Xenopus tropicalis: one gene and its partners. The protein of the gene in region 1 interacts with the protein of each later gene in a biochemical or structural test. Links are inferred from orthologs where the notes say so. Each region holds a gene or a part of one and is shown in the gene's direction. Other genes may lie near its edges. The genes, in order: erbb3, syk, itk, src, shc1, fer and ptk6.

Region 1 (3,965 bases):
AGTTTAATGCCAATAATGGGCCAGGTTTAAATCAATAAGAAAACATTATTTGATGGTCTGTCATGTGAAAACTTATGGGTGAGATTCAATTTGAGGAGAAAAAACTTTTCTCCCAACTCAGTCCCAGTTTTTACCATAGACTTCTATAAAGTTTACATTTGATAAACTGAGATAGTATATTTTGCCTTGGCATTGGACAAAATCAGCTGAAAAATACATAATGAGGAAAAATGGCGCATATAATGAAGACAAAGTGTAATTAAATCCCACTCTTTCTGCAGTGTTTGGATATGCTGGATCCTTCAGAAAAAACAAACACCGTGCAGGCTCGGCTCTTCAAAGACACAGAACTGAAGAAACTGAAGATCTTGGGCTCCGGAGTATTTGGCACAGTGCATAAGGTAAGTATCTGTCACTGTATGTAGGAGACAGAAACCTGAGCCTGTAGAAGAACTTGTTGTTTATCTAATGCTTTGTCTTGGTCACCTGAAATGCCATGTGATGGGCAAATACGATTAAAGGGAAATCATTTTGGTGGCTCTAATAATGATAATAATGTTAATTACGGCAATATGCACTAGTCATATTAGGTATTTCTCACACCTAGGGGTGCTTTGTAGTATCATGATTGATATTTAAACAAGAGAATATGTATGTCAATACAGACTGTGCTTCCAGAAAACATGGACCAAAATTTGGAATAACTCACAAACCCAAGAGAAAACTACTGGCGTAAATTAGTCCACTTGTCCAGGATAAAGCCTTGCTGCTGCTGTTGGCTGGTGATGTACCATAGGTCTCAAAATCCAAACCTGACATGCTAAGCTGGCAATACAAATATCTTTAAAATCTTTTGTATGATGTAAATATATTATATATATATATATATGTACACATTGGCCTGACAAATCCATATACTTTTGACAATGTAATCTGCAAACTATATGTGGCAGTATTTCTCTTTGCTACCTGCTGTTCTGATTGTTTGGGTTATCAGTCCCAGCGAAACAGAACAGTAGAAAGGCGGCCATGCCAATTAGCTGTATACAATACCAACAGCTCAGCCCATGTATGCCTACACTTCAGTAAAGTACAGAAAAAAATGCCCTTAAAGCTGGCCATACACGGAAAGGACTTTCCCCTGGTATGCCCACCTTAAGGTAGGCGATATTGGACTAATCTGATAGTTTCGCTTTTGGGCTAAAGAATCAGATCACACTGACAGACCGTTTGGACAAGGATCAATGCACCGATGTGTTTCTCATCCTGATGAGATTTTTAAACTTGCCTGATTGACATCTGCCTGATTTTCAGACAGGTATCAGTCGGGTAGGCCAGTTAAAGGGCCCCACCTTTAGATGAACATACACAAAAATCAGCATAAAAAATTAGAGACAGCAGGCCCTGCCCTAGAGAACACGGGGGCCCTCCTGGAGCCTTCATAGATGTGCATTTCAGTATGTGGACTGTTTGCTATGGCTGTGAAGGTTCTCATTCATCCAGGTCATGGTATTTCTTGAAAAAAAGCAAGCCCGGTTGATATGAGTTATTACTACAGATAGACGGTTTGCAATAATATCAAACCTCCAGGAGGCTTAAAAGGGAGTGTCTTATTACTGCTTAGTTACATTGCTGATATGAAAAACATATGATTTCCTTACATGCAGTTTAGTGCAGAGCTAGAGGCTTCATTTCTAGGTGGGTTTTGCCAGACATGAACCACAGTTTATATCTTATTATTCCACATGTCTGTGTGAAGTAAAATGGTGAAAAACATGAGGAACACCGTATAACAAAAATGACTTTTCATTGAGTTACCGTTTGTATTATTAACTTCCTTCCTTTTGGTTTTCTCTTGCAGGGTGTCTGGATACCCGATGGTGAGTCGATCAAGATACCTGTCTGTATTAAAGTTATACTAGACCGGACCGGTCGCCAGACCTTCCATGCAGTTACTGATGTAAGTTGCTTCTCTTGTTCACTCAGTAGAATGTAAACCATGTGAAATAAAAACTAGTAGTAATTGTAAGGAAAGGAATTTAATGGCTTGCATAGAAGGTAGTATCAGTTAAACAGCCCTCCTCCACTGGAACCACACAAGTTTGTCCATCCAGTCCTCCCTGTTTTCCCTAAATGTTGATAAAAATGAAATTAGCACAGCGGGGTGGGGGGCACCATCCCACCAAACTGAATCTTCTCGTGCCAATGATTGCGAACACAGAGCATTTGCAGTTAAAGCCAGACCGGCAATTCAGCGGCACATAATGGTGCCCTTTGACCAAGCTGCACTACTCTGCTCTTTATCAACATGCATGGAAAATGGGGCAGATTTGTGGGGGGGATAGTGGTGTAGTTTAGGTGGTTTAGGAGTTCTTTCGGGAGATACTACCTTTTGTTCAAGGTTGCCATTCTCCTTTAAGACTTTTGCTATCTGTAATTAGTTTTAATACTGCATTTTTTCCTTGTATGACTGATACAGGTAAATGTTACTCCAGGCATAGTAGCACAGCTCAACAAGCTTATGAATTTGTTTGTAGCACTACTATGCTGTTTATGTAGCCATGGTAATGTATGGTCTCACTTGTACTGGGTGGTTCTGAGGCTATCCTGTCTCCACAGCACATGCTAGCAATTGGAAGCCTGGACCATACCTACATTGTGCGTTTGTTGGGGATATGCCCAGGCTCACAGCTCCAGCTGGTCACAGCATACCTGCCAATGGGATCGCTGCTTCAACACGTGCGCAAAAACAAGGATTCTGGTGCCATTGGTCCTCAGCTTCTTCTTAACTGGTGTGTGCAAATTGCAAAGGTAAATATTCAGAATAAACTGGCAGTAGTGTAACAAAGCAAGCACTGTCATATATCAGCTCTACTTAAATGGGCTACAGAAAATTTGTCAAGAAACTGACAAGTTATATTATAACGTGAATATGAATACCCAGACACACTAGAGGTTGTTGCTGGGTAGACAATGTTGTAATACAACCAGTTACAATAACTAAAGTGATAAACAGCCCCCTTGCTCTTTTCATCAAATTATTCCCCATTTAAATCTGTTATTTCACATTTATACTTACATAATTTCCCATCTCTGTTTGTTACAATGTAATATCATATATAAATCATTATAATGATTTATCCTGCCCTATCCATTGTCTATTGTGTCCTTCCTCTCTCCTGTAGGGTATGTGTTACTTGGAGGAACATCGAATGGTTCATAGGAACCTATCTGCTCGGAATGTCCTTATGAAAAGTGTCAATCAGGTGCAGGTATCAGACTATGGAGTGGCAGACTTGCTGTACCCAGATGACAAGAAGTTTTGCTACAATGAGATCAAGGTACCCTTCTGCCTTCACACTCATCTATGTTTATAAGTACAATATTTGCTTAATATCTAACCTTACCTTATTACTAGCTAAGCATATTCCAATGCTGGTTTCTGCTCTCATATCCTTGTTCATATTCCTTTGCAACTGCAAGGGCCGGTGAATCACCAAGCAGCAGGGTGTCCATTAATGCTGTTTGCAGTTGTTTTTTAGCAACAAGCTTTAAATTAACACAATTGTTCTAGGTGCATCCGGCATTATAGTTTCTAGCATGGATGTGTCAGGGGAATTTACCTGCTTTGGTTTTTGGATTTTTTTTTGTGGACAGGCCTGGACTGGTAATCTGTGGATTCTGGCAAATGCCAGAGCCTTCTCCTGTAAGAGTCACTATTTATTGGGCTCATGGGGGCTGTTTAGGTCTCTGTGTAATTATAATCCCAGGGCCTATTTTGAATCCCAGGCTGGGCCTGTACATACCCCTGTATCTGTTTATTTTACTTCTACATACACTGATTTATAATCAAATTCTGAAAAAAATCAAACTATCCAGTTCACTGAGAAAAATTTTTGAGATTTGATTAAAATTGTACTTTTGTTTTTATTTTTTTTTTAATGTACCTTTTTTGGTACTATGCA
Region 2 (3,965 bases), on another chromosome or scaffold:
GCTTTAACTCCTACTACAAATCTGGCTCTAGGAAAAACAGATTTTGCTGATTATGATCTTGAAAAGATGTCCATGTATCTCTATAAAGCAGTATTGTCCGGCTAGTGAATGTCAGATTGTCCCTAAATTACAACTCCCAGCGTTACCAGGAGATAAAGATTACAGTTGGAGAGCCCTGCACAAGGCATTCCTGCTATTATGTTGCTGTTCAGCAGCTCTCCACTTTGGAATCTGGACTTTTCTCTGACATTAGCAAACAGAAATATTCAGGCATAGTGGAGCCACTTATATCTGCAATATGGTATATATGGATTTTATATGATGACATTTAGTAGCAAACTCTATTTTCTTCTTGAGATCAAATATGATTTGCTGCCTCTAATTCTATAGATGTTTAGAAATGAGGGCATGAGATGGTGGGGATCACAACCCAGTGCAATCAACCTTTCACCACAGAATACAATGAAATTAGAATTACACATATTTTACATCATTATGTTAAAGCTATTGGAGCAGCATAGGCATTTTGCAATAATCATATAACAAATAACCAAATTTAAAAAAAAATGCTTATATATCCTTTTTCCCCAATTTGAGCACAGGTTTGTAACACAGTCTATTTGTTCATTTTTTTTTTTTTTTGCTTTAACTATGTAGAATAGTCCATGAAATCTAATTAAATGTCTTCATTCTGTTATAGAAAGCTTTATATTTAAACGTGCACCATGTCCAGCACCTCCTACCCAACATCAAATGGTAAGTAATGCATGCATAACATCAATTTGTTCATTACAACATCACAAAGGCCATTCTCTGCTGGTAAGTGCCATCCAAGTACTATAGACTTGTGTATTGCAACTACTAGAATGCTAAAAGTTTCATTATACGAAGCAAATTAGTCAAACCTATGTTTCCTTCATTAGCAGTAAGAAGGCAGATGCTATTTTGAGAAAGATGCCATCAAGGCAAACTTTGCTTTAACCATAAATCTAATGTAGGTGCCAGAAAGTAATCCAAATGCCCAATCACAGGCTATGTCAGATTATAATGGGGGTGGTGGGATGGTGAGGAGCATTCAACATAATTTCAATATAAAGGGCTTATGCCAATAATGCTTGCCACCTATTTAACCAAATAATTTATAGCTTTATAATTTAAAGGGGGGGGGGGTGTGAGGAGCATTCAACATAAAGGGCTTATGCCAATAATTCATGCCACCTAGTTAATGAAATAATTTATAGTTTTTTTCAGTACAGGTGAAGATAATCATTACATATAAAAAAAAATTGTCTAAGGATCACATTTTCAATACAAGCCCTGTGTATCTGATCCACATGGGTGTTTATTTCCATTAATTTTAAAGAATCCACACTGTAAGGTATAGACTGGGTGCTTGTGGTCTGTTGGGTTAACAAATGGAAAAGACAGGGTTGAAAGGAAGAGCATTACCAAGCAGCTTAATGCTGTGTGACTTTGTATTCAGTGGAACCTTGGATAATACATGTACAGTACCTGAAAGCTGGACAGAGAGACAGTAAATGCACTTGAATAAAAATACTATACTCTTTGAAAGTAATAGAGAATGTATGTTTTGAAAGTTTAGATAAAAAGTAAACATCTTATGCAAAGCCATATAATGCATGAAAATTGTTGGCAGTGACCCTAACTTCAGTTTTGTTATTACTGCCCCCCAGAGAGAATTTTCATTTTCAAATTGTAAAAAAAAAATGTTTTTTTTCTGGCAGCATGTTTAATGTTCCTCTCTGCCATTGTGGTTTCTAGAGTTGGTCAGCAGGTGGAATTATCTCGAGATTCAAATCCTACTCCTTCCCCAAGCCTGGCAACAAAAAGGTGCTCTGTACACACTATCTAAGGCTTTCCAAAATATAGACAGGCGCTAAATTAATGACTCAGCTTATTTACATTAAAGCAGCATTGCGGATTTCTGCATTATTTAGTTCTGCCAAGGCTGTCTTTAGTGGTGGGGGCCCAGGGCAGAGCAGTTTTTGTGGGAGCGTTATAAGACGTAGGACTATATCTGTGTAACTTAAATCCCCGGATCCATTGCTGAAATACTTTTCCCAGAATCACTTGACTGATGTCAGTGGGTCCTTGCTTTTGTATTTCAGAACAAATGAAGTCTAAATAACACTGATAAGTGTTACTGTCACCATGTTGCTTTACTATATCTGCTGTCCTACAGTCTCACTGTTTCTTCCCAGAATGTATTGTTCCTACTATTACATTCAGTGTTGCACTACCTTCTCTTCTATAAATTATACCGTGGTGTATTTCCTACCTAAAACCACTGCTTATGAGGCCCTACTATGTATGAGGCCCAGGGCAATTGCCCCTGCCCCACCTCACTAAAGACAGTAATGCAGTAGTTTTGTAGTTGTTGGTTAAGTTCAGATTTTTACATTCTTAAAATTAAAAATTAAAATAACAATTATCCTCTGAAGGGAAATGCTGTCATCTTCACAGTAAAAACTGCAGTTCTCAAAATGCCAAGAACTGTTGGCAGTCACTTCCCAATATGGAACTGTCTATGGGGGACAATAGATAGAGGGAACAAGTCCATCCGCCAGTATGAATCATGCCCATGCTTATTATAGCTTGTGCCTTAGGCAGTCTAACTGCCATACACTATAGATGTCTGCAGCCAACAGCTGTTCTAGGCATTGTATGCACCAATGCTTTCTCTGAGAAGCTTGTAAACATGATGCCATCGCTGTCCTGAGTTCCATTATGTTTAATATGGTTGTTAAGGGAACCCAAACAAATCTGAAGTCACTGTTTCCCCTAATCATTGGTTTTGGGTGGGGACTTCCAGAGAAAATATGAAATAATTATATTATGCCATTTTAACTGCAGCCTACACATAATTCAGTTGCAGAAATTATATATTTCTCCCTTCACATTCATTTAGCCACTTCTTCATCCGCTTGAAAACTGCTACAAACATCTTGTTTGTTTATTTATGAGCCAGCAGTGCTGCTTTAATATTACTAACTGTGTGGTAAGCTGCTAAAATTACATTAACCATTGATGTCGGTTTCTGCCCTCCACCTGCTATAGACTCAACTACCAGCTGACCTACTGAAGATGCTGGGATTTGTTGTTAATGACATTTGAAGGGCACGCATTTGACATCTCTGCTCTTAACACTCTGCTTTTGGCCCCTAGTGTGGTTTGAAAATAACACAAAACAAGTTGACATCAAAAAATTTGGAAAAAAGGGAAATCATGTATATTATCACAAATGTATCATGTGTCATAAAATATGTGCAGTATATTGATGTGGTGTCAGTGATTGCGGTCAGTGACAGAGATGTTACCACATAATTGACACCACAGAATCATAATATATAAGGAAGATTTTAATTGTTGGGAGGGCTCTTTAGTCTATAAATTCCAGAAATAAGAATGATATGTATAATATTTTTTTTCTGGTATTTGTCTGGCTTAACAAAAGCTCCATGTGTGCTAAAAAAAGAATGAAGTGGGCTTTTCCCAGATTAACTAACAGATAGAATCCAGGTTCTTATTAAAGAGATTTTCATTTGTGGTGAGCTTTGGAACCAGAATGGCCTTCTACTCAACCACCTAATTGGCCTCTATGTTAGTACCATGGCCATTTCTGCATGAGAGAGAATAGAATAGATTGAAGAGAGGAATGATAAAGTAGTAGACAACACCCTAAGGGAAAGAAGAAAATAGGAGAAAAATATCAGATGGGTTTAGAACGGGGAATAAGGGACCAAGGGGTGAAGGGAGAGATAAATTAAGGGCAGAAATCATAGAATGTATTGACAAGACAGTGTGGTACAAAAGTAAGTGAAGAGCAGCAGAAAAACCTATTGGAATGTGGTCTCTTGTCCTAAGGTTTCTAATTTGCTGGTGCCCAGGTTGGCCAGTTGGACACTGGCTCCTTTTTATTTACAGTTTTTTTTTCTTTTGCGAGT
Region 3 (4,458 bases), on another chromosome or scaffold:
CATGGGGATAGCGCCGTGTGCCGTTAAATAGGGATACAATACCGGATAATTCCCACACCCCACCGCACGCACCTTCAAACAGCTCCGTTCCTCCAATACAACACACCGCCAATCTCCGCCCTACACCAAACACTTCCGAGTAGTCACTAGCAACTTCCGGAAGAGGTACGTCACGTTACGTCAGCGCGCTTTCCAGAGCGTCCATTACCTGTTACTATTGAACAATGGCGTGTTACTGCGCAGGCGCTGGAAGCGTTTAACGTGGTGCCAACTGCAGGGGGAGCCGTGTGGCTTCCCAAAAAGAATGTTTTATAAGCAGTATATGTTTGGCTGGTTATAGTCTTTGTACTACTGGTTGTTGCTCTTAAAAGCAAAAACAAGCTGGTTTAAAAGATGTAGTGAACATGAGTCTGCTACAGTATAGGTTCATGGCTTTCTACCCACCCATAGAATTCAAAACAATTCCCATATTAAATAGAACATATTTGTAGGTGCTGGACATACATAAAACATTTTTTAAATGTTCATCTTTATTCTCTTTATGGTGTTTATGGTCTGGACCTTTCATTTTAAAATTGAGATACAATAATGCGTATTTTGTGTTTCTAGGGCCAGTGGCACAATGAGAGGTTCCATGTGGGAAATTGCTGAAATTACTTGTGGAAACTGGAGGGCAGTCTGTGAGAAGACTGGGAGCAGCCTATGAAGAGACAGAGGAGCCTGTTATCAGCATGTGAGGTCTGCCCCTGTCAGTGCTTTGAGAGTGAGCACTAAGGGAATGCTCTTGCTTTTGCAGCAGGGGTATAAATAAATGGCCCCTACAGTGTGGCATTGCCATGATGCTGAAGGGCCAGATATACTGCTGGTGTACAAGTATGCTTGGGAGCTGTGAGCGGTAATTTAGTGATGCCCCTGCTACAAGTGTAGGAACACTTAAGCCCCCCATACACGGGCCGATAGAAGCTGCCGATATGGGTCCCTTGGACCGATTCAGCAGCTAATCGGTCCGTGTATGGGAAGAAACGAGCGGCCTGGCCAACCGATATCTGGCCTGAAATTGTCCAGATATTGATTGGCCAGGTTAGAAAATCCAGTCGGATCGGGGACCGCATCGGCTCGTTGATGCGGCCCCCGAACCGACTGCCCCATGGCCGCAACTGTAATCCGATCGTTTGGCCCCAGGGCCAAACGATCGGATTATTTTTTTTTAAAGCAACTTCCTACCCGATATCGCACACCCGTAGGTGGGGATATCGGGTAAAGATCCGCTCGCTTGGCGACATCGCCAAGCGAGCGGATCTTATAGTGTATGGGGACCTTAAGGGCCGTGGTAGACGGGGAGATAAGTTGCCTGCGAGTAATCTCCCTGATATGCCATTCCACTGGCTTGAATGTAAATCGCTGGTGGGATGGCATATGCCTTGAGAGGAAACTTCCGCGATTACGGGAAATCACGTCACTGCATATGCCATCTCACCGGCGATTTACATTTAAGCCGGTGGGATGGCATATGGGGGAGATAAATCGCCCGCAACTAGGGAGATTTGTCACGGGCGACTAATCTCCCCATCTGCCACGGCCCTAAGGGACACAAAATCACACCTTTAGTGCACATTTTCAAAGCACTTGTGACAGCCTCTGGGTAGTTGTGTTATTAGGGGCATAGTGTTGCACAGTCATCAGGACCAGAATGGAATTCAAAATAGGCCCTGGCATTTTAAGTACATAAAGGCCCAAAACAGCCCTCTAAATAGTGACTGTCTATGATAGATTACAGCAGTCCCTGTGGCATATGCCAGACTCCACAGATTGCCAGTCCAGGCCTGTCATTTATAATGCTAAAGGGACAGATAGTCTATTGGTAGGCACAGGGCAAATATCCTGCTGTGGTATATAGTGCCAGAAAGTCATGCTGATGGATAAAGATGATATTGGAGGGATACACCACTGGGCAGACAACAAATGGAAGCATGGAGAGCTGTGGTAGGTGGATTGCTGATTTGGGTTGAGCTTGGGCTGGGTAATGCAAGCTTATTTGGGCATAATTATTGCTATGGAGGATGATCTGCTTTGGCAAGAGCTGAGTTCAAGTGGAGAATATTTGGCACGGCCAAAGCTTAACCAGCTTAACCAGAATGCTTGAGAGTCCCGGGCCACATGGTAAGTTCACTATATGACCCTACTTGGTGCAGGTAACTACAGGGAAGCATATAGTAATTAAAGTGCAAGTCTTGAGTCACTGCTGATTCTTTTTGGGGGGGGGGTAAGGGCTCACAACATTATTCTCTGCCCCCCAGTATTATGGCGCTATTTACTGACTATAATTCACCAATATGGTACTTGTGGCCCTCCATATTGATACATAAGACATGTAACCACTTTTGTAAAGTTACATAAGACATGTATGACTAAAGCCTTCGAAATATTTAGTCCATTATAAGTTAGTTCTTGTGCTTTTTTGTGAGCAATGCACTTGTTATTAAGGTATACAGCAAAGCAGTGGGTAGAAAAATGTGTGAAATGTGCTGGAGAGAGCCCCTGCTGTACACAAGCAACTTAATAGAAAAAAGAAGGATGTGGTTGAAGCTTGAGGTCATAAAACAAGTTTTTCACCTTGCTCTGCTCACTGATGTCTCGATAAGTGACTCCCCCGCTCTCTATGGCAGCACCCCTTCCCCTACTCTGCCTTCTTTTTGAGTATTTCAGCTAACAGTCTCATGCAGTCATGTGATTGTTCATCCTCTCTCTTAGAGTGTTTTCTTAAAGGACTAGGTGGTCTCATTTAATTTTTCTTGAAAAAAGTAAAAAACAAATATTTTCTATGTGATCTGCCTCGGGGTCTTCTGGTGACTCTGGGAACAGGGTCTGGTATCCCAGATGAATAACCCTGTTATCCTGCAACAACAGCTTATTAAGAAGTCCCAGCAGAAGAGAAGGACGTCCCCAGCTAACTACAAGTCCAGGATCTTCATCCTGACCCACTCTTCACTCAACTACTACGAGCATCGGCAAGGGGTGAGCGAATGTAGCACAAGGGTTTGTAGGGCATTAGGTTGGAATGTGGTTTCATTCTTTGGCTTCTTTGTTCACAGTGTTCCTACAAACAAGGGTCTGTGTGAATGTTGTATTGATATGAATGCTTGTGTGTCTTATTAGGGTTGGAGCTACATCCTTGTCTTTCTCTTTCTGCCCCATCTTACTCCCTGGGTTTTTCTCTTGTCTTTATCATACCAGTAAGGACCCATGTAGCAATGTTGGTTATATCCTTGACATGCGCTAAGCTTAGTGCTTCAGCAGTTTTGTCTTACTGTACCAAAGGACTTCATAAATATATTTTAATCTTTTGACCTCAGTACAAAACTGTGCTAACAGTGTTAACAAAAATGATAGGCCTCTAAATAAACACCTGCCTCAATATTGGATGTCCTGACTGCAGGCATATGCATTCATAACGCAAACCTCCTTGGGCTTTATTCCACTATTCTGATTCATAGTCCAGATAAAGTTATTTCAGTTTTATAACTACAACTTCCAGCATTCTTCTTGCTGGGGCATTCTTGCTGGAAGTTGTATTTCTCTAACAGCTGTTTCATCATTAGTTGCTTATATCTGCTCATTATCATAAACCATGTTACATTGTTTATTATGATATAGTAGAGTAACTGGAGGTCATTTAAGAAAAAGAAAAAAAAATTGCAAGGTGCAAAGCCAATCAGCAGCAAGTGCAGGCCAGCCCTGTCTTTACTGCCTGCCATACAGGCAGTTGCGTTTCCATCTGAAAAGTTTGTTTTTGTTGCCCTCCTGATGCAGTGGGCTTGGGGCAAATGTCTTTTCTGACCCAGCCCTTTGTGGTTTGTACCTGTATTTTAGTAATCATGTAATCATGTTGGCTTGAAGTGTATATTTTACAGTTATAACATTAACACAGTTACAAATTAAATGGTGGTGGAAAAAACACACATGTCCATCAATGTGAACCTTTTTGTAATTTCTGCCTTCTAGCATCTCCTGTTTGCCCTAGAGGGGGGGAAATTTTCTTCTTAACTACAAAAAGGGCAATCGAGCCAGTACCTGCATCCAGTGGTGTATCTACAATGTGCCTCAGGCACCCCTTCCCCATAAAAAAAATCTTTGGAGGGGCACGGCATGCAAAGCAAGCCCTACCTGGCCCCCGCATGCTCCTGTACCCTGCTCGTGCCACGTTAGGTAGGAGAGAGCAGTTGGGGAAGGGGGATTTCTAGCACCTACGGAAGAAGCAGATCCCATGGTCTGGGCCCCCCACAACCACATATAACCTCTATAAAGCTGTTAATTTTGGTAACATTTGGTAAACATTTATTTTTATTGTTATTAAATGTAAGCAATAAAGTGGCATACCTCCCTATTGGTAACCCCTAACTAATTATCTTCTGCAAGTGGGGTAGACAAACACTAAATGATGCCCCTCTTTCGTTTAGA
Region 4 (4,631 bases), on another chromosome or scaffold:
GCATAGGGCAAGCAGACTATGGAACACACAGGCAGCATAGGGAAGGCAGAGTATAGCACAAGCAGGCGGCGTAGGACAGGCAGAGTATGGCACACACAGGTAGCATACATCTGAAGTGTGAACAATAGAGGGGGTTACAGCCTGAATCTGAGGTGTGAACAATGCAGGGTGATACATTACAATGCACTGCTCAAGCTTTCCTATTTAATCTCCACTGGTATCACTACCTGGTTGCTAGGGTCATTGGAGGCTTAGCAACCAGATAACAGTCATCCAAACAATAGTTCACAAAGAGCTAGGGAAAAGTACTAGAGGTGGGAGTGCTGGGTGCATGGGGTGAAGTACTAGAGGCGCGGGTGCTGGGTGTATGGGGTGAAGTACTAGAGACATGTGAGCTTGGTGTATGGGGAGAAGTACTAGAGAGGTGGGTGCTGGGTGTATGGGGAGAAGTACTAGAGGGGTGGGTGCTGGGTGTATGGGTAGAAGTACTAGAGAGGTGGGTGCTGGGTGTATGGGGAGAAGTACTAGAGAGGTGGGTGCTGGGTGTATGGGGAGAAGTACTAGAGGGGTGGGTGCTGGGTGTATGGGGAGAAGTACTAGAGGGGTGGGTGCTGGGTGTATGGGGAGAAGTACTAGAGAGGTGGGTGCTGGGTGTATGGGAAGAAGTACTAGAGGGGTGGGTGCTGGGTGTATGGGGAGAAGTACTAGAGAGGTGGGTGCTGGGTGTATGGGGAGAAGTACTAGAGGGGTGGGTGCTGGGTGTATGGGGAGAAGTACTAGAGGGGTGGGTGCTGGGTGTATGGGGAGAAGTACTAGAGAGGTGGGTGCTGGGTGTATGGGGAGAAGTAATAGAGGGGTGGGTGCTGGGTGTATGGGGAGAAGTACTAGAGGGGTGGGCGCTTTATAAATAAATGTTAATGTAATGCTGGGTGTATGGGGAGAAGTACTAGAGAGGTGGGTGCTGGGTGTATGGGGAGAAGTACTAGAGGGGTGGGCGCTTTATAAATAAATGTTAATGTAATGCTGGGTGTATGGGGAGAAGTACTAGAGGGGTGGGTGCTGGGTGTATGGGGAGAAGTACTAGAGGGGTGGGTGCTGGGTGTATGGGGAGAAGTACTAGAGGGGTGGGTGCTGGGTGTATGGGGAGAAGTACTAGAGGGGTGGGTGCTGGGTGTATGGGGAGAAGTACTAGAGGGGTGGGTGCTGGGTGTATGGGGAGAAGTACTAGAGGGGTGGGTGCTGGGTGTATGGGGAGAAGTACTAGAGGGGTGGGTGCTGGGTGTATGGGGAGAAGTACTAGAGGGGTGGGTGCTGGGTGTATGGGGAGAAGTATAGGGTTGTGTAATTCCTCTAGTTGAGTGAATCAGTCGGTGCGACTCACCAGGGAAGAATGAGAGAAAGGAAGACAAGGGAAGCCAGGCTAGCTCTGGGAGGGGAGGAGGAGAGAGGGGGAAGTGTTGGGATTAGAGGTGGGATCTGAGAGGGGAATAATGCAAATGAAAGGGGAAGGACAAAGGGGAAAGACAAAAAGGGACAGGCCGAATTAATAAGCGCCCCGGACTGTGGTGAGAGAGCAGGCTGGGTGTCACTGGGGCAGTACAGAGACCCCCCAACGGGAGTGACAGGCTGGGCCAGGGCTGATTCAGTGGGAGGAGGGACAGGCGGACCCGGGGGAGGGCAGCACAGGCGGAGGGGAGGAGGGAGCTGGAGCCGGCCGGGCGTGAACCGTACGCTGAGTAGATCCCCAAACTTCCCGGCCCAGGAGGAATCTGATGTGTGGGGAGAGGCACCGGGAGATAGTGGGTACGAGAAGAGCGCTCTTGCCCCCCTCTGTGTGAGGGGGGTTCCCGGAGAGTGGAATCTCCCGATATCTCAGGCAGGACAAGGTAAGTAGTGGCTGCACCGTGCCGCTAGGGGGCGTAGGATAGTACCACGGGTGCAGAGAATGGGGGCGCTATAGGCTGCTTGGGAATGGTGTATGTAACGCCTTTGGGGGTATTTGGAGCACTGCTACCATATGGGCCTTTAAATCTCACTCTGGCCCGGTATTCGGTGGGTATGCCTGTGTATATGTTGTGCACACAGGCCCTTTAATGGTCAGGGTAAGTGCAGCATGTTTCCTGCGAACATCAGGGGTTAAACTTCTGGGCCAATAAGCTAGCGTACATTTAACACATGATTTTGAGATGGGGGCATGCTGGGAGTCACTGGGCAAGTCTGGAGTTGAGAGAATATTGGGGAGTGAAGGGGCTAGTTAGCAATATTGGGTGTGCTGGGCATGGATGGGGGGAATTCTATAGTATACAGGGCATGTATGGGGGAATGCTATAGTATACAGGGCATGTATGGGGGGAATGCTATAGTATACAGGGCATGTATGGGGGGAATGCTATAGTATACAGGGCATGTATGGGGGGAATGCTATAGTATACAGGGCATGTATGGGGGGAATGCTATAGTATACAGGGCATGTATGGGGGGAATGCTATAGTATACAGGGCATGTATGGGGGGAATGCTATAGTATACAGGGCATGTATGGGGGGAATGCTATAGTATACAGGGCATGTATGGGGGGAATGCTATAGTATACAGGGCATGTATGGGGGGAATGCAGGAGGGTACAGGGCATGTATGGGGGAATGCAGGAGGGTACAGGGCATGTATGGGGGAATGCAGGAGGGTACAGGGTGTGTGTGGGTAAATGGTACAGGGAGTAAAGGATGGCTGGAGAGTACAGGGCATGCATGGAGGAGTGGTGAAGGGTACAAGGCGTGCATGGTGGGTTATCATAGATTGTACACTTGTGAGTCCTCTCTATAATAAACCAAAGGCCATCCTGCTACTGGTTGAAGTTGAGAGTTAAAATTCAACCCAGCTCTATAGGTATGGGTAGTTCTGGGGAGCAAAACTATGCTATGTACCTGTGTATGTATGTGGAACAATTCTGCATATAAACACACACAATGGTCAAACAGCTACTATGGCAGTGGGTTGCACAATTATTATAGTTTATATCTAAATTTAGATTGGTATTAAATGTCATACAGAGCTGGCAGCATTGTTTTTTTTTTTAACTATGTGATTGCTACAATTAGCAAATGGCAAGGGTAAATGTTTATGAATGTACTCAAGCAAATGGGTATCCCTCCCCCTTTTAACCATTTGCTGTGCAGCTTTTAAAGCAGGAGGCTTTAGGGCCATGATCATAACTTTCCAATGTCGCCTTGTTAGTGCCAGGTTGTAGGTAAAGGGCTAAGGGTGCTAGGTTATACGTAGGATGCACCAAACCCACTATTTTCAGATTCCGTCAAACTCAGTGTCCTTCGTAAAGGATTCGGCCAAATACCAAGCATATGTAAATTAGGATAGGGAAGGGTTAAAGCGAGCCTCGTGCGCAGGTTGCGCTGAAAAAATTTCAACTTCTGTGTTTATATGACAAAAAGGCACATGATTTTTAGTGTTCTGATTCAATTCAGTGCATCCCTAGCTGTAGGTATAGGTACATGAGTGCCAAGCAGTGGGTACAGTGGTATATGTGCCAGGCTTTAGATAAAGGAAGGGGCTGTTTACCAGGCTGTAGGTATAGGTACATAAGTGCCAAGCAGCGGGTACAGTGGTATATGTGCCAGGCTGTAGGTATAGGTACATAAGGGCCAAGCAACAGGTACAGTGATATATGTGCCAGGCTGTAGGTATAGGTACATAAGTGCCAAGCAGTGGGTACAGTGGTATATGTGCCAGGCTGTAGGTATAGGTACATAAGGGCCAAGCAACAGGTACAGTGATATATGTGCCAGGCTGAAGGTATAGGTACATAAGTGCCAAGCAGCGGGTACAGTAGTATATGTGCCAGGCTGTAGGTATAGGTACATAAGGGCCAAGCAGCAGGTACAGTGGTATATGTGCCAGGCTGAAGGTATAGGTACATAAGTGCCAAGCAGCGGGTACAGTGGTATATGTGCCAGGCTGAAGGTATAGGTACATAAGTGCCAAGCAGCGGGTACAGTGGTATATGTGCCAGGCTATAGGTATAGGTACATAAGTGCCAAGCAGTGGGTACAGTGGTATATGTGCCAGGCTGTAGGTATATGTATGTGAGTTCTCAAGCTCTGAGTACAATGATACATGTGCCAGGCTGTAGTCAAAGAGGTATATTTGCTACACTGTATGTAAAGGGCTATATGTACCAGACTGTTGGTACAAGTGAAAGGCTTCTGATACAGGGGTATGTATGCTAGGTTGTTGGGAAGGGCCTATGTAGCTAGGCTGGGTAAAGGGCAACGTGTGCCAGGCTTTGTTATCATCGGCTTATCAAATATACTGACACATGAATGTATCTTAGCAAATAACCTTTAGATAAAATCAGCAGGTCTTTTCAACCAAAAATTTATGCTCTGGCCTCCCTCTAGTGCAAAGCTACAACTCCCGAGGGTGATGGGAGTTGTAGTTTTGTACTAGGTGGAGGCTACAGTTGCCTTAGAGCCAGCTAAATCCCAGCTCACCTTCACACGTGCCTCAATCCCTGTTGAGTCTATCAGAATGCAATCTGGAGTGTACTCCCCTCTCTCACCCTGTGTACTCTGAGCCTTCCGAGCCAGCTACGTGTTACAGCCTGCCTGCCATTCTTGG
Region 5 (4,093 bases), on another chromosome or scaffold:
TGGGCCCCCTTAGCCCATAACAAGGTTACAGATATATAGAAACATTGGGGTAACAGTCACCCTGCTATAGTTCCAGGGGTACCCAGGGCACAAATAAGCACTCACCCCAAATCCCCCCTAACTGGCCTTCAGGCTGGGCCCCCTTAGCCCATAACAAGGTTACAGATATATAGAAACATTGGGGTAACAGTCACCCTGCTATAGTTCCAGGGGTACCCAGGGCACAAATAAGCACTCACCCCAAATCCCCCCTAACTGGCCTTCAGGCTGGGCCCCCTTAGCCCATAACAAGGTTACAGATATATAGAAACATTGGGGTAACAGTCACCCCGCTATAGTTCCAGGGGTACCCAGGGCACAAATAAGCACTCGCCCCAAATCCCCCCCTAACTGGCCTTCAGGCTGGGCCCCCTTAGCCCATAACAAGGTTACAGATATATAGAAACATTGGGGTAACAGTCACCCCGCTATAGTTCCAGGGGTACCCAGGGCACAAATAAGCACTCACCCCAAATCCCCCCTAACTGGCCTTCAGGCTGGGCCCCCTTAGCCCATAACAAGGTTACAGATATATAGAAACATTGGGGTAACAGTCACCCCGCTATAGTTCCAGGGGTACCCAGGGCACAAATAAGCACTCGCCCCAAATCCCCCCCTAACTGGCCTTCAGGCTGGGCCCCCTTAGCCCATAACAAGGTTACAGATATATAGAAACATTGGGGTAACAGTCACCCCGCTATAGTTCCAGGGGTACCCAGGGCACAAATAAGCACTCACCCCAAATCCCCCCCTAACTGGCCTTCAGGCTGGGCCCCCTTAGCCCATAACAAGGTTACAGATATATAGAAACATTGGGGTAACAGTCACCCTGCTATAGTTCCAGGGGTACCCAGGGCACAAATAAGCACTCACCCCAAATCCCCCCCTAACTGGCCTTCAGGCTGGGCCCCCTTAGCCCATAACAAGGTTACAGATATATAGAAACATTTGGGTAACAGTCACCCCGCTATAGTTCCAGGGGTACCCCTAACTGGCCTTCAGGCTGGGCCCCTAGCTCCCCATTCCATAGTTAGTCCCTAAAGACAAGTGACTGGGAATATATATATTTTATTAGTGTTCTGTGCCCCCCCCACATTATTCCATGCTGGTTGAGCCCCCCAGGCTTAGATGAACTGAGGGCTGTGATGTATGGGGAGACTGTTGCAAGCAGTAGATAGTCAGCTCCGGGGCCCAGTAGTGAGTAGGAGGGGGGGGGTGGGTTTCATTGAGAGGAGGAAGTGAGGGGGGGGCAGTAGCTGGGTGAGTCAGCAGAGCGCGTGCTATTGGCCAGCAGCAGCCTCCTTCTCCTGGGAGCCAGTGAATAGGTAATCAGGCAGCCCCAGCTCCATTCATCCCGACTCCCACTCACCGTCCCTCACTCACACTCGCACACAGTGCAAGGCTCCCACCCCCCCTGCACCTGAGCTCTCTCCCTGCCCCAGAGATGGGTAGGAAGGCAGGTGGAATGGCTCCCTCCCCCGGCCCGGTGTCCATCTGCACATTTTCCCACAAGGATTAGCCCCCCCCCTCGCTGACCTTTCCCCCAGAGGAGCCCCCAGCCGCACATCGGAGATATAAATATATGGATTTATTTCCCCCCCCCCTCAGCATTTCCTCTGCTGCCTTCCTGCTCGGTGCTGCCGGCTCTCCCATATCCTCTCTCCGTAGGGTGCCGGGGCCCCGCAGGCCAGGGGAGAGGTACCCACCCATCAGCGGCCGTGTAGGGAATGTATTGATCAGTGGGAGGGGGCCCCCATGCACAGTGAGTGGGACATGCACCAAGTGACACTCTCCTCTCTCTGGCTCCCGGATCAGAACCTGCTGGTCTCCCGCTGGATTCTTCTCTCCCCGGCACTCAAGCCAATGCCCCAGCCCGGCTCCTGGCTGCCCCTTTCTAGCTGATTGGAGGGGTACCAATGTGGGGTTCTGGAGGGAGATCCGTGTATACAGGTTTGCCCGGTACCGGACTATGAGAACCAGACCCCCCATTGCTGTCGAGTGCAAGCTGGCAGCTGGCATCATGGATCTGCTTCCCAAAACCAAATACAATCACCTTCGCAATGAGTCGGTCAGCTCGGTGGAAGAGGCTTTGGCCGCTGGGCCCCTCAGCCCTTCGGTGGAAATCATGGTGTCCCTGCCCAGCTCTGCCTCGTCTTCCTCCCTTGCCCCAATGCTGCCGCTGGCCGAGCTGTCCTCTGAGTCGGAGGAGAGCCCCACCACTCTGTGCTCCTTCTTCCCCAAAATGGCCAACCTGAAACTTTCCAACCCGGCCAACCTGCTTAACCTGCGCAGCTTCTCTTCCTCCATGGGGGGGAAGGAGAGCGCCAGCCCCGGGGAGCAAGGGGACACCCCCAATGAAGGCAGTAGCCCCGAATCAGGCCGGACTTTCACTGTTTTCTCACAGGATATGAACAAACTGAGCTGCGGGCGAAAGTCCCGGGTGGAAGGAGGCCAACTGGCCGGCGACGAATGGACCCGGCACGGCAGCTTTGTCAATAAGCCCACCCGAGGCTGGCTGCACCCCGACGACAAGGTCATGGGCCCCGGGGTTCCCTATCTGGTCAGGGTAAGGCCATGTTTCTCTTTCTTGGGCTTTGTTTCTCTGGGCTACCAGGGCTCTCTGTGCCCCTACCCTCTAGTTCCAGCCTCTACTCCTACCTACTGTCTGTACTCCTACCCTCTAGTCCTACCTGCTGTCTGTGCCCCTACCCTCTAGTTCTAGCCTCTACTCCTACCTACTGTCTGTGCTCCTACCCTCTAGTCCTACCTGCTGTCTGTGCCCCTACCCTCTAGTCCTAGCCTCTACTCCTACCTACTGTCTGTGCTCCTACCCTCTACTCCTACCTACTGTCTGTGCTCCTACCCTCTAGTCCTACCTGCTGTCTGTGCCCCTACCCTCTAGTCCTAGCCTCTACTCCTACCTACTGTCTGTACTCCTACCCTCTACTCCTACCTGCTGTCTGTGCCCCTACCCTCTAGTCCTACCTGCTGTCTGTGCCCCTACCCTCTAGTCCTACCTGCTGTCTGTGCCCCTACCCTCTAGTCCCAGCCTCTACCCTCTACTCCTACCTGCTGTCTGTGCCCCTACCCTCTAGTCCCAGCCTCTATCCTCTACTCCTACCTGCTGTCTGTGCCCCTACCCTCTAGTCCCAGCCTCTATCCTCTACTCCTACCTGCTGTCTGTGCCCCTACCCTCTAGTCCCAGCCTCTATCCTCTACTCCTACCTGCTGTCTGTGCCCCTACCCTCTAGTCCCAGCCTCTATCCTCTACTCCTACCTGCTGTCTGTGCCCCTACCCTCTAGTCCCAGCCTCTATCCTCTACTCCTACCTGCTGTCTGTGCCCCTACCCTCTAGTCCCAGCCTCTACCCTCTACTCCTACCTGCTGTCTGTGCCCCTACCCTCTAGTCCCAGCCTCTATCCTCTACTCCTACCTGCTGTCTGTGCTCCTACCCTCTAGTCCCAGCTCCTACCCTCTAGTCCCAGCTCCTACCCTCTAGTCCCAGCTCCTACCCTCTAGTCCCAGCTCCTACCCTCTAGTCCCAGCTCCTACCCTCTACTCCTACCTACTGTCTGTGCCCCTACCCTCTAGTCCCAGCTCCTACCCTCTACTCCTACCTACTGTCTGTGCCCCTACCCTCTAGTCCCAGCTCCTACCCTCTACTCCTACCTACTGTCTGTGCCCCTACCCTCTAGTCCCAGCTCCTACCCTCTACTCCTACCTACTGTCTGTGCTCCTACCCTCTAGTCCCAGCTCCTACCCTCTACTCCTACCTACTGTCTGTGCTCCTACCCTCTAGTCCCAGCTCCTACCCTCTACTCCTACTTGCTGTCTGTGCTCCTACCCTCTAGTCCCAACCTCTACCCTCTACTCCTACCTGCTGTCTGTGCCCCTACCCTCTAGTCCCAACCTCTACCCTCTACTCCTACCTACTGTCTGTGCCCCTACCCTCTAGTCCCAACCTCTACCCTCTACTCCTACCTACTGTCTGTGCCCCTACCCTCTAGTCCCAATCTCTACCCTCTACTCCTACCTGCTGTCTGTGCCCCTACCC
Region 6 (4,549 bases), on another chromosome or scaffold:
TTAAGGTTTTTTGTATTTTTGTAAGTGGGTGGAGCCACCAACAGCCAATCAGATTTTACCTATTGACTCTAAATGGGGAAATTCAACCTGCTGCCATTCTGACAGTATTAACACCAGGGTCCCCAAACTTTTCACAGTTGGTCACTAGAGGACTACAGTTTTAGTTTTGAAAAAGTGGGCGGGCCGCCAACAGCCAATCAGATTTCACCCATAGACTTCATATGTTTAAATTTAAACTGCGACCATTCTTTAAATATTAATACTAAGGTCTCCAAACTTTGCAGAGCTAGTCACCTGGTAACTGCAGTTCAGAGTTAGAAAAAGTGGGTGGAGCCAACAACAGCCAATCAGATTTTACCTATTGATTTTCAATGGGAAATGCAACCTGCTGCCATTCTCACAGTATTAACACCAGGGAACTGCATTTTTAGATTTTAAAAAGTGGGTGGAGCCACCAACAGCCAATCAGACTTCACCTATTGAATTTTTTTTTGGTTTATATTTAAAATGTTGCTTTGCTCACACTATTTATGTCAGGGTTCCCAAACAAGTGGGAGGAGCCACCAACAGCCAATCCATTTCCACCCATTAGATTTCCTTGGTTTATATTTAAACTGATGCCATTATTTAAATATTAATTCCAGGGTTGTTAAACTTTCCAGAGTTAGTCACTGGGTATTTGCCGTTCAAAGTTAGAAAAAAGTGGGCGGAGCCACCAACAGGCAATCACATTTCACCTATATAATTTCAATGGTGAAGTGTAAAATGCTGTCAGTCTCACAATTTTTATGCCCAAGTCCCCAAAATTTGCAAAGTTGGTCACTGGGGGACTGCAGTTCAAAAAATAGGAAAAGTGGGTTGGGCCACTAACAGCCAATCAGATTTCATCCATTGAATTTTATTGGTTTAAATTTAAAATGCTGCCATTCTCACACTATTTATGCCAGAGTGCCCACTGTTTGTCACTGGGTGACTTCGACTCAAGGTTAAAAAAAGGGGGCGGGGTCACAACCACCAATCATAATTCACCTATTGACTTTTATTGGTTTAAATTTTAACTATTAATCCTAGGGTCACGAAACTTTGCAGAGTTAGTCACTGGGTAACTGCAGTTCCAGGTTAGAAAAAGGGGGTGGAGCCACCAACCACCAATCAGATGTCACTCGTTGACTTTCAGTGGGGAAATTTAAATTGCGGCCATTCAGACACTATTAAAACCAGGGTCCCCAAACTTTGCACAGTGGTTTTTACTGTATAACTGTGATCCAAGGTTAGAGAAAGTGGGCGGAGCCCATTCAGTGACTTCATATTTTTCAACCCAACATGAAGTTTGTTCTCAAACTTACTTTTCTAGGTATAACATGTACTTCTGCCTAAATATCTGCAGCAGAGACTAGTGGCACATACTGCTTGCAACCACTAGGAACAATACTTCTTTGTTGCATTTTGTCCCTTGTACAAGTAGGACATCCAGTGAGCCCAGAAAAGACTCAGTTTTCCTCATTCCTACATTTAGGAGCGGACTTGGTGATGGCAGGGGCATTTTTTTATTCCTTTCAGTTATGCTCCACAAAAAAAGCAGCAGCTTCCGTGTCCTATACAGACTCAGCATCTTACACGCTCAGCAATCATTCGCTCCATCACTTCTCATTCTCCCCCAGGCGGGTACGTCGGCGTGCCTGCGCTCCCACTCACAGTGTCCGTAACGGTAGTCTCATCTCGCGAGAGTATGACGGGAGTGTGGGAGCGCTGGCCGGCAGAGCCGAGATGATGGACATTTAAACAGTTATCCGGGGCTGGGGGCTGTGTTATGAGATTCGGGAGTGTCCCGCGGAAAGCGGGATAGGCAGGCGGTACGTATCGGGCGGCACTCTGGGCCTCTCCACATTTACCCTTTCCTTGGAATCTGTCGCTATTATTGTGCGCTAGTAGCACTTTGTACGCCTTTCTGGCTTAGCTGTAACATTGTGGTTCGCTTGCTGCTTAGCAGTGGGATCCCATATTGATGGCAGATAATGCGTGCCGTACTTATCAGGCTTGGGAGTCAGACTCGCCGGCATTGTGGCAGCTTTGGCGTCCATGGTGTTCATTAGCGCAGGAGGCGGTGCCTTCTAACTCTTGGGAATGGGATGGGTGCAGCTTGTATACACCTTGTATAAAGTCAATAAGCCCGTGTGTATTATTCCCTTATTATTAGTTTGGGGGGGGGGGTGAACCCAAAATAGGGAGATGTTTTCTGCAGCCAAAATAGCAGCAAATATTGCTATTTGGAAATAATTTGTATTTATTTACTTTCTTTCTAAAAGTGACATTCAAAGTGATACAGCTGTACATATTCTGCTGCCTTTTCTCCCTCTTTGTTATTTACTATTCTGCGCCTCTCTGTCTTGAACATGGTCATATGGTTTGCTGAGGTTAGTTACACATTGCCCACATTCATTCTAAGGCTATACTTCTAGTTTTTATTTTTTTCTTTTCATTCAGGCCCACTGTTTTATACCTGTAATTACAATGCTTAGGGGTAAGTGGCACTACAATAACTAGATATGTTCCAATATACAAATATTTGGCCTGATACTGCATTTCTACAAGTGAATGTAACAGTCGAAAAATGCCATTGTCAACAGTGGTTGCCAGACGTTGTTGCTTCAAGTCCCTTCGGAAGTCTAACATTTGGTCCCAGCTCTTAGTTTACAATAAGGTTACAGATATAGAAAAACATTTATGTTTTAGCTGTTTAGTCAGACTTCACAGAATATCAAGGACAGCATATAACTCTTCACCCCAATTCCCACCCTCCACAGACATTCAAGGCTGAATTGTCAGATATGGAGGTAGAAACAATAGGATTTCTACCTCCTTCTTCTGATTCAGCCCTGAAGGTCGATTTTGATTGGGCGCCAAAATCTTTTAACCCGCCCGATTGGGGAGTCGACCGATATCCACAGCCTTTTGCGATATCGGTTAAACACGCACCGAATATCGTACGAAACAAGGTATGGCCAGCTTTAGTGTTCAAGCTAAGCACTGCCTACCTCTGTCCCAGCCTGACGTTTTTGGTACCACTGGGTGTACATTCTACCCTGTGACAAGTATAAAGGGCTAGTGAAAATGGTGTAAAATTGTTAACATATAATTAAAGTATGTATATCTTTATGTAGTGCTAATTGTATATTCAGTGTTGTAGATTGTTACATTCACTTGTAGAAATGCAGTATCGGGCCAAATATCCATGTTAACAAGGCTAATTAGTAGTAGAAAGAGCCATGCCCTAGGTAGGGCATGGCACAATTGGGGGTGAAAATGACATCTGATTTTTTTTTGTCTTCCTTTCAGATATAAAATGAGGCCTCTAAAATACGGCTAGTGTTTTAAATTGTGAAATAAGCTGGAGTTTGTAATGTCTTACTATTCTGTGCTAGTACAGATGTGTTTAGATTGTATTAACACTTAGCGAGAAATTAATACCTGTTCTTCCAGTGTCTCAGCGAAACCATTTTGTTATGACATATACACATTATGCATACTGTAAACAAGTCAGTAATTGCACTGTATAGCGCTAGGACCTGTCTCTCACCTGCCTGCTCTAGCTGTGGTTGTTTCACTTGCCCTACCAGGCTTGGCTGATCAAATAGCTAATATAAGGCTGATGTATGAGGTGTAAGGGTATTAGTTAACGTCAAAAGCCTTTAAATCTTTTTGGAAGGGTTGCGGAATTCAAGCAGATAGTAGCTGCAGCTAGACTTTTTCATATGACATTGTGACATATGATTTATGGTATACCTGGCAGAGAGTATGCCAGGTACATATAGCTTTTTGGAAGACTGGTAAATATTCTTGGAGGGTAAATATTCTTGATGCATATTACATCTGTGAAGGGAAGCAGAGGGGCTGATTCACATGAATGTCTAATTGCAACATAGCAGTTAGCAACCTGTTAAATCTTTGCTTTTATTATGTAACTTGTAATCTACAAAAACTAATTATTGATTAATAATGCTTTGTAATATTAACTACCATGATGTAGTTTAGTACCTTTCCCAGTAAACATAATGGGTTTATTCCTTCTCATTCCTTGTTAATAACCCTCTGGTATGTATTACAGTAAAATTGAAATTGTAACTGATAAGATTTATTTTAAGGGGGCAGTGTCTGTATTTACCTTTATCATTACATTAAATAACATTAGCCAAGTAGTTAAGGATGTGAAAGAAAATGTAGCTACCATGTAAGATTTCAACAAATTCTAAACCCAAAGCCTAGACTTGGGGCTTGCTTAATATATTGTGCTTCCTGTGTCAGCTTCTGTAAAAGAAGCATGTGGTTAAGAGACAAGCCAACACTGCCTAATGCCAGTGCAAGCTCTGTAATCTTATGTTCTATTTGTCCCTATTGCCATGCACGCCCGCAAAGTATAGGATATTACTCCGTGATAATAAAAAGCATTGGTTGGTCCCCATAACTAAGTTTAAAATAGTTAAGGAAAGTTTAACACAGGCAGGGATTGCTTTACGTTATGTTTTTAGGCTTTTTTACTGGCCCAAGGCAC
Region 7 (4,471 bases), on another chromosome or scaffold:
AAGGGCGGTACCATCGCTGCCAATAGCCCAGAGGGCAGAACTAGCGCACTTGGTAGGACTTTATGGCATAGGGCAGAAGGCATAATGGTATTTCTTTTCAGGGAAATTTTATGACAAGTGATTGAAAGGAGCCAAGAAGCACAGCCTGTCCTGGTGCTTAGTGCCGGGCTGCCCTTTCCAGAGGTGGCAGCAGTGGGGCAGTCTGGGCTAGGGGTATCATCCAAGAACTGAGCCACTGGCTGCCATGCAGGAGAAAGTAGCCAGTACAAAGGCCACTACAAGGGCCAGTACAAGGACCAGTACAAGTGCCACTACAAGGGCCAGTACAAGGACCAGTACAAGGGCCAGTCAAAGGGCCAGTACAAGGACCAGTACAAGGGCCAGACAAAGGGCCAGCACAAGGGCCAATATATGGACAGTACAAGGACCAATACATGGACAGTACAAGGGCCAGTACAAGGGCCAGTACAAGGGCCAATACATGGACAGTACAAGGGCCAGTCAGTACAAGGGCCAGTACAAGGGCCAGTCAGTACAAGGGCCAGTACAAGGGCCAGTACAAGCCAGCCAGACAACTGGAAGGATTTACCTAGACCAGGCAGGTTATCTGCATTAAAGCTGGAACTGCAGTATCTGGACATCTATGGGGTAAAAAGGCACTAATTTGCCCAGGTGCAGTAACCCATAGCAACCAATCAGCAGGAAGCATTTACTGGTCACCTGTTTAAAAGCAAAACTCTTATTAATTGCTATTGGTTACTGCTCCTGGGCAAACTTAGTGACTTTTATTACATATGGGGATAGGGAGCCACTGACCCGGCCCGAGAATGGTTCCAACCTGGGGGATCCACAGTTAAACTAGAGGAACATATGGCCATGTTCTATGAATACATAACAGAATAAATGCAAGGACGTAGTCTCAGAACACGACTGGGTTCTAGGTCCATTGCTTGTACCAATTATAAACCTTAAAAATAGTTTAAAATTTTTATTTATTTCAATCTATTAAAAACATTAACAGCCGGGGCTATCCACATGGGGCTGTTAATAAAGTTTTTACTATTTTTGAGTAGTGCAGACGTTTATAATTGGTACATGTATTACCCATTCTGGTCACTAGGGGGCGATACCTACTCTATATAAAGTGTTTACTAAAAATGAAAATTCCTTTGTTCCTGTTCCTTTTTTTCTAGTTACATTGCTGTCTGTCTGTCACACAAAAATAATAAGTGGGAGGAGTTATATACACCAATTGGAGATCAGATAACTATTGGGAGAGATAAGGGCAATAATGTTCCAGGCAGAATTAGAGAGTCAGCAGCTGAACTCTGAGATTGTAATTGGACTTCTGTATTGCCAGTGTCATTGGCATTGCAATGTTACATGTAACATGGAGCAGTGTCGGAATGGGGTGTCGGGGACCCACCAGGGGGGAATATGATACAGCAGACCCCATAGTCTAGGCTCCCCACAACCATAGTTTTTGCTGTATTGTAATTACCCCACTGAATAAAGGACAGAGATCAGAAGTGTAACTAGCAAATGGGCAAGGGGGTTGGCTTGGATCTGGGCCATGATAAAGAATACATTGGGCTGTCTAACATGGAGCTTGTCTAACATGGAGCTTGTCTAACATGGAGCTTGTCTAACATGGAGCTTGTCTAACATGGAGCTTGTCTAACATGGAGTTTGTCTAACATGGAGCTTGTCTAACATGGAGCTTGTCTAACATGGAGCTTGTTTATCATGGAACTTGTGTAACATGGAGCTTGTCTAACATGGAGCTTGTCTAACATGGAGTTTGTCTAACATGGAGCTTGTCTAACATGGAGCTTGCCTAACATGGAGCTTGTTTAACATGGATCTTGTCTAACATGGAGCTTGTCTAACATGGAGCTTGTGTAACATGGAGCTTGTTTAACATAGAGGTTGTCTAACATAGAGTTTGTCTAACATTGAGCTTGCCTAACATGGAGCTTGTCTAACATGGAGCTTGCCTAACATGGAGCTTGTCTTACATGGAGCTTGTCTAACATTGAGCTTGTTTATCATGGAGCTTGTTTATCATGGAGCTTGTTTATCATGGAGCTTGTCTAACATGGAGCTTGTCTAACATGGAGCTTGTCTAACATGGAGCTTGTTTATCATGGAACTTGTGTAACATGGAGCTTGTCTAACATGGAGCTTGTTTAACATAGAGGTTGTCTAACATAGAGTTTGTCTAACATTGAGCTTGCCTAACATGGAGCTTGTTTAACATAGAGGTTGTCTAACATAGAGTTTGTCTAACATGGAGCTTGTCTAACATGGAGCTTGTCTAACATGGAGCTTGTTTATCATGGAGCTTGTCTAACATGGAGCTTGTCTAACATGGAGCTTGTTTAACATAGAGGTTGTCTAACATAGAGTTTGTCTAACATTGAGCTTGCCTAACATGGAGCTTGCCTAACATGGAGCTTGTTTAACATGGATCTTGTCTAACATGGAGCTTGTCTTACATGGAGCTTGTCTAACATGGAGCTTGTTTATCATGGAGCTTGTTTATCATGTAGCTTGTCTAACATGGAGCTTGTCTAACATGGAGCTTGTTTATCATGGAGCTTGTCTAACATGGAGCTTGTTTATCATGGAGCTTGTTTATCATGGAGCTTGTCTAACATGGAGCTTGTTTATCATGGAGCTTGTCTAACATGGAGCTTGTCTAACATGGAGCTTGTCTAACATGGAGCTTGTTTATCATGGAGCTTGTCTAACATGGAGCTTGCACCAGAGTAATTGTCCTAGATGGTATGGCAATGATACTGATTATTAGAGCCATGGGGAGTTGCAGTTTGACACTGCCATAAGGCCGAGCCCATCCCTGCATTACATAGAGCTTGAGAGATATTTCTGGCATTTCCTTGTTTAGTTCTAAGTAGCAGCCAAGTGTCCCACACCTTGTCCTTGTCACAGGCTCCCCGCCCCTAATCTCGCCCTCAGGTATGTGGCAGAGCAGCGCGGGACGAGCACGGGATGAGGAAGTAAGGTGTTTCCAGCAGGTTGGACTCTCACGTTCATTGGGAGGGAAGGCCCCACAGTCCCTCCATTGCTCTGCTTCCCTCACTTCCACTTTCTTCTCCTCCAACGCCCTGAGAGTGGGGGCCAATGTCCTGACTCAGAGTCATTTCAGGTCACCTTGTCCTCTTCTCCAGGGCAGGCAGAGGTGGGACGAGAAGCCCGAGACCCTTGCTTTGATATTCCCTGGGAACTGGTTGGATGGCAACGCCAAGATGAGCCATCGGCCAAAGCGTTTCGTCAGTCTCTGGGACTTCAAGGCTGAAGCGCCGGAGGAATTAAGCTTCAAAGTTGGAGACGTCTTCGAAGTTCTGGACAGAAGTGGAGACTGGTGGCACGTGCAGAAGCTGAAGGGGGACGGGAAGGGAAAGCCCGAGGTGGGATACGTCCCATACAATTTCCTGGCAGAGGAAGGAACAGTGGAAGAGCAGGAGTAAGTAAGGCAATAATGGGGGGCAATAATGGGGGCAATAATGGGGGCAAATCATGTTATAGGGATAATATTGCTAAAATGCAAGTTAATGACACAGAGAGGTTCAACATTTAGCTAAGAAATGACTCACATCATGAGGTGCCCGGGGCTCTGGGGTAACTGCACTTTCCTGGGCCCCCCGAAATGTAATGTGGGGTAACTGCACTTTCCTGGGTCCCCCGAAATGCAAAGTGGGGTAACTGCACTTTCCTTGGCCCCCGAAATGTAACGTGGGGTAACTGCACTTTCCTGGGCCCCCCCCGAAATGTAACGTGGGGTAACTGCACTTTCCTGGGCCCCCTGAAATGCAAAGTGGGGTAACTGAGCTTTCCTGGGCCCCCCGAAATGCAAAGTGGGGTAACTGCACTTTCCTGGGCCCCCCCCGAAATGTAACGTGGGGTAACTGCACTTTCCTGGGCCCCCTGAAATGCAAAGTGGGGTAACTGCGCTTTCCTGGGCCCCCGAAATGCAAAGTGGGGTAACTGCACTTTCCTGGGCCCCCCCCGAAATGTAACATGGGGTAACTGCACTTTCCTGGGCCCCCTGAAATGCAAAGTGGGGTAACTGCATTTTCCTGGGCCCCCTGAAATACAAAGTGGGGTAACTGTGCTCTACTGGACCCCCCGAAATGCAAAGTGGGGTAACTGCACTTTCCTGGGTCCCCTGAAATGCAAAGTGGGGTAACTGCACTTTCCTGGGCCCCCTGAAATGCAAAGTGGGGTAACTGTGCTTTCCTGGGCCCCCGAAATGCAAAGTGGGGTAACTGCGCTTTCCTGGGCCCCCTGAAATGCAAAGTGGGGTAACTGCAATTTCCTGGGCCCCCTGAAATGCAAAGTGGGGTAACTGTGCTTTCCTGGGCCCCCTGAAATGCAAAGTGGGGTAACTGCACTTTCCTGGGCCCCCGAAATGTAACGTGGGGTAACTGCACTTTCCTGGGTCCCCTGA

The links.
Region 2: the proteins of erbb3 (region 1) and syk form a complex in vitro, tested with the Homo sapiens proteins (2 studies listed by BioGRID and IntAct, with this or other methods). The link is inferred for Xenopus tropicalis from reciprocal best matches to the Homo sapiens genes ERBB3 and SYK.
Region 3: the proteins of erbb3 (region 1) and itk form a complex in vitro, tested with the Homo sapiens proteins (2 studies listed by BioGRID and IntAct, with this or other methods). The link is inferred for Xenopus tropicalis from reciprocal best matches to the Homo sapiens genes ERBB3 and ITK.
Region 4: the proteins of erbb3 (region 1) and src form a complex in vitro, tested with the Homo sapiens proteins (2 studies listed by BioGRID and IntAct, with this or other methods). The link is inferred for Xenopus tropicalis from reciprocal best matches to the Homo sapiens genes ERBB3 and SRC.
Region 5: the proteins of erbb3 (region 1) and shc1 form a complex in vitro, tested with the Homo sapiens proteins (2 studies listed by BioGRID and IntAct, with this or other methods). The link is inferred for Xenopus tropicalis from reciprocal best matches to the Homo sapiens genes ERBB3 and SHC1.
Region 6: the proteins of erbb3 (region 1) and fer form a complex in vitro, tested with the Homo sapiens proteins (2 studies listed by BioGRID and IntAct, with this or other methods). The link is inferred for Xenopus tropicalis from reciprocal best matches to the Homo sapiens genes ERBB3 and FER.
Region 7: the proteins of erbb3 (region 1) and ptk6 form a complex in vitro, tested with the Homo sapiens proteins (2 studies listed by BioGRID and IntAct, with this or other methods). The link is inferred for Xenopus tropicalis from reciprocal best matches to the Homo sapiens genes ERBB3 and PTK6.

Annotation. Positions count from the first base shown.
Region 1 is NC_030678.2:137,683,592-137,687,556, reverse strand, and holds part of erbb3 (receptor tyrosine-protein kinase erbB-3), read left to right. Parts: intron 1-281; coding exon 282-401; intron 402-1,861; coding exon 1,862-1,960; intron 1,961-2,619; coding exon 2,620-2,811; intron 2,812-3,185; coding exon 3,186-3,341; intron 3,342-3,965. UniProt on the Homo sapiens protein: Tyrosine-protein kinase that plays an essential role as cell surface receptor for neuregulins.
Region 2 is NC_030677.2:138,464,759-138,468,723, forward strand, and holds part of syk (tyrosine-protein kinase SYK), read left to right. Parts: intron 1-700; coding exon 701-756; intron 757-1,782; coding exon 1,783-1,851; intron 1,852-3,965. UniProt on the Homo sapiens protein: Non-receptor tyrosine kinase which mediates signal transduction downstream of a variety of transmembrane receptors including classical immunoreceptors like the B-cell receptor (BCR).
Region 3 is NC_030679.2:14,179,213-14,183,670, reverse strand, and holds the start of itk (tyrosine-protein kinase ITK/TSK), read left to right. Parts: upstream 1-1,461; 5' UTR 1,462-2,877; coding exon 2,878-3,015; intron 3,016-4,458. UniProt on the Homo sapiens protein: Tyrosine kinase that plays an essential role in regulation of the adaptive immune response. Regulates the development, function and differentiation of conventional T-cells and nonconventional NKT-cells.
Region 4 is NC_030686.2:39,477,033-39,481,663, reverse strand, and holds the start of src (proto-oncogene tyrosine-protein kinase Src), read left to right. Parts: upstream 1-1,724; 5' UTR 1,725-1,886; intron 1,887-2,017; exon of another isoform or gene 2,018-2,093; coding exon of another isoform or gene 2,094-2,102; intron 2,103-4,631. UniProt on the Homo sapiens protein: Non-receptor protein tyrosine kinase which is activated following engagement of many different classes of cellular receptors including immune response receptors, integrins and other adhesion receptors, receptor protein tyrosine kinases, G protein-coupled receptors as well as cytokine receptors.
Region 5 is NC_030684.2:145,083,079-145,087,171, forward strand, and holds the start of shc1 (SHC-transforming protein 1), read left to right. Parts: upstream 1-1,293; 5' UTR 1,294-2,008; coding exon 2,009-2,605; intron 2,606-4,093. UniProt on the Homo sapiens protein: Signaling adapter that couples activated growth factor receptors to signaling pathways. Participates in a signaling cascade initiated by activated KIT and KITLG/SCF.
Region 6 is NC_030677.2:174,160,583-174,165,131, reverse strand, and holds the start of fer (tyrosine-protein kinase Fer), read left to right. Parts: upstream 1-1,630; 5' UTR 1,631-1,853; intron 1,854-4,549. UniProt on the Homo sapiens protein: Tyrosine-protein kinase that acts downstream of cell surface receptors for growth factors and plays a role in the regulation of the actin cytoskeleton, microtubule assembly, lamellipodia formation, cell adhesion, cell migration and chemotaxis.
Region 7 is NC_030686.2:1,941,877-1,946,347, forward strand, and holds the start of ptk6 (protein-tyrosine kinase 6), read left to right. Parts: upstream 1-1,378; 5' UTR 1,379-2,981; coding exon 2,982-3,487; intron 3,488-4,471. UniProt on the Homo sapiens protein: Non-receptor tyrosine-protein kinase implicated in the regulation of a variety of signaling pathways that control the differentiation and maintenance of normal epithelia, as well as tumor growth.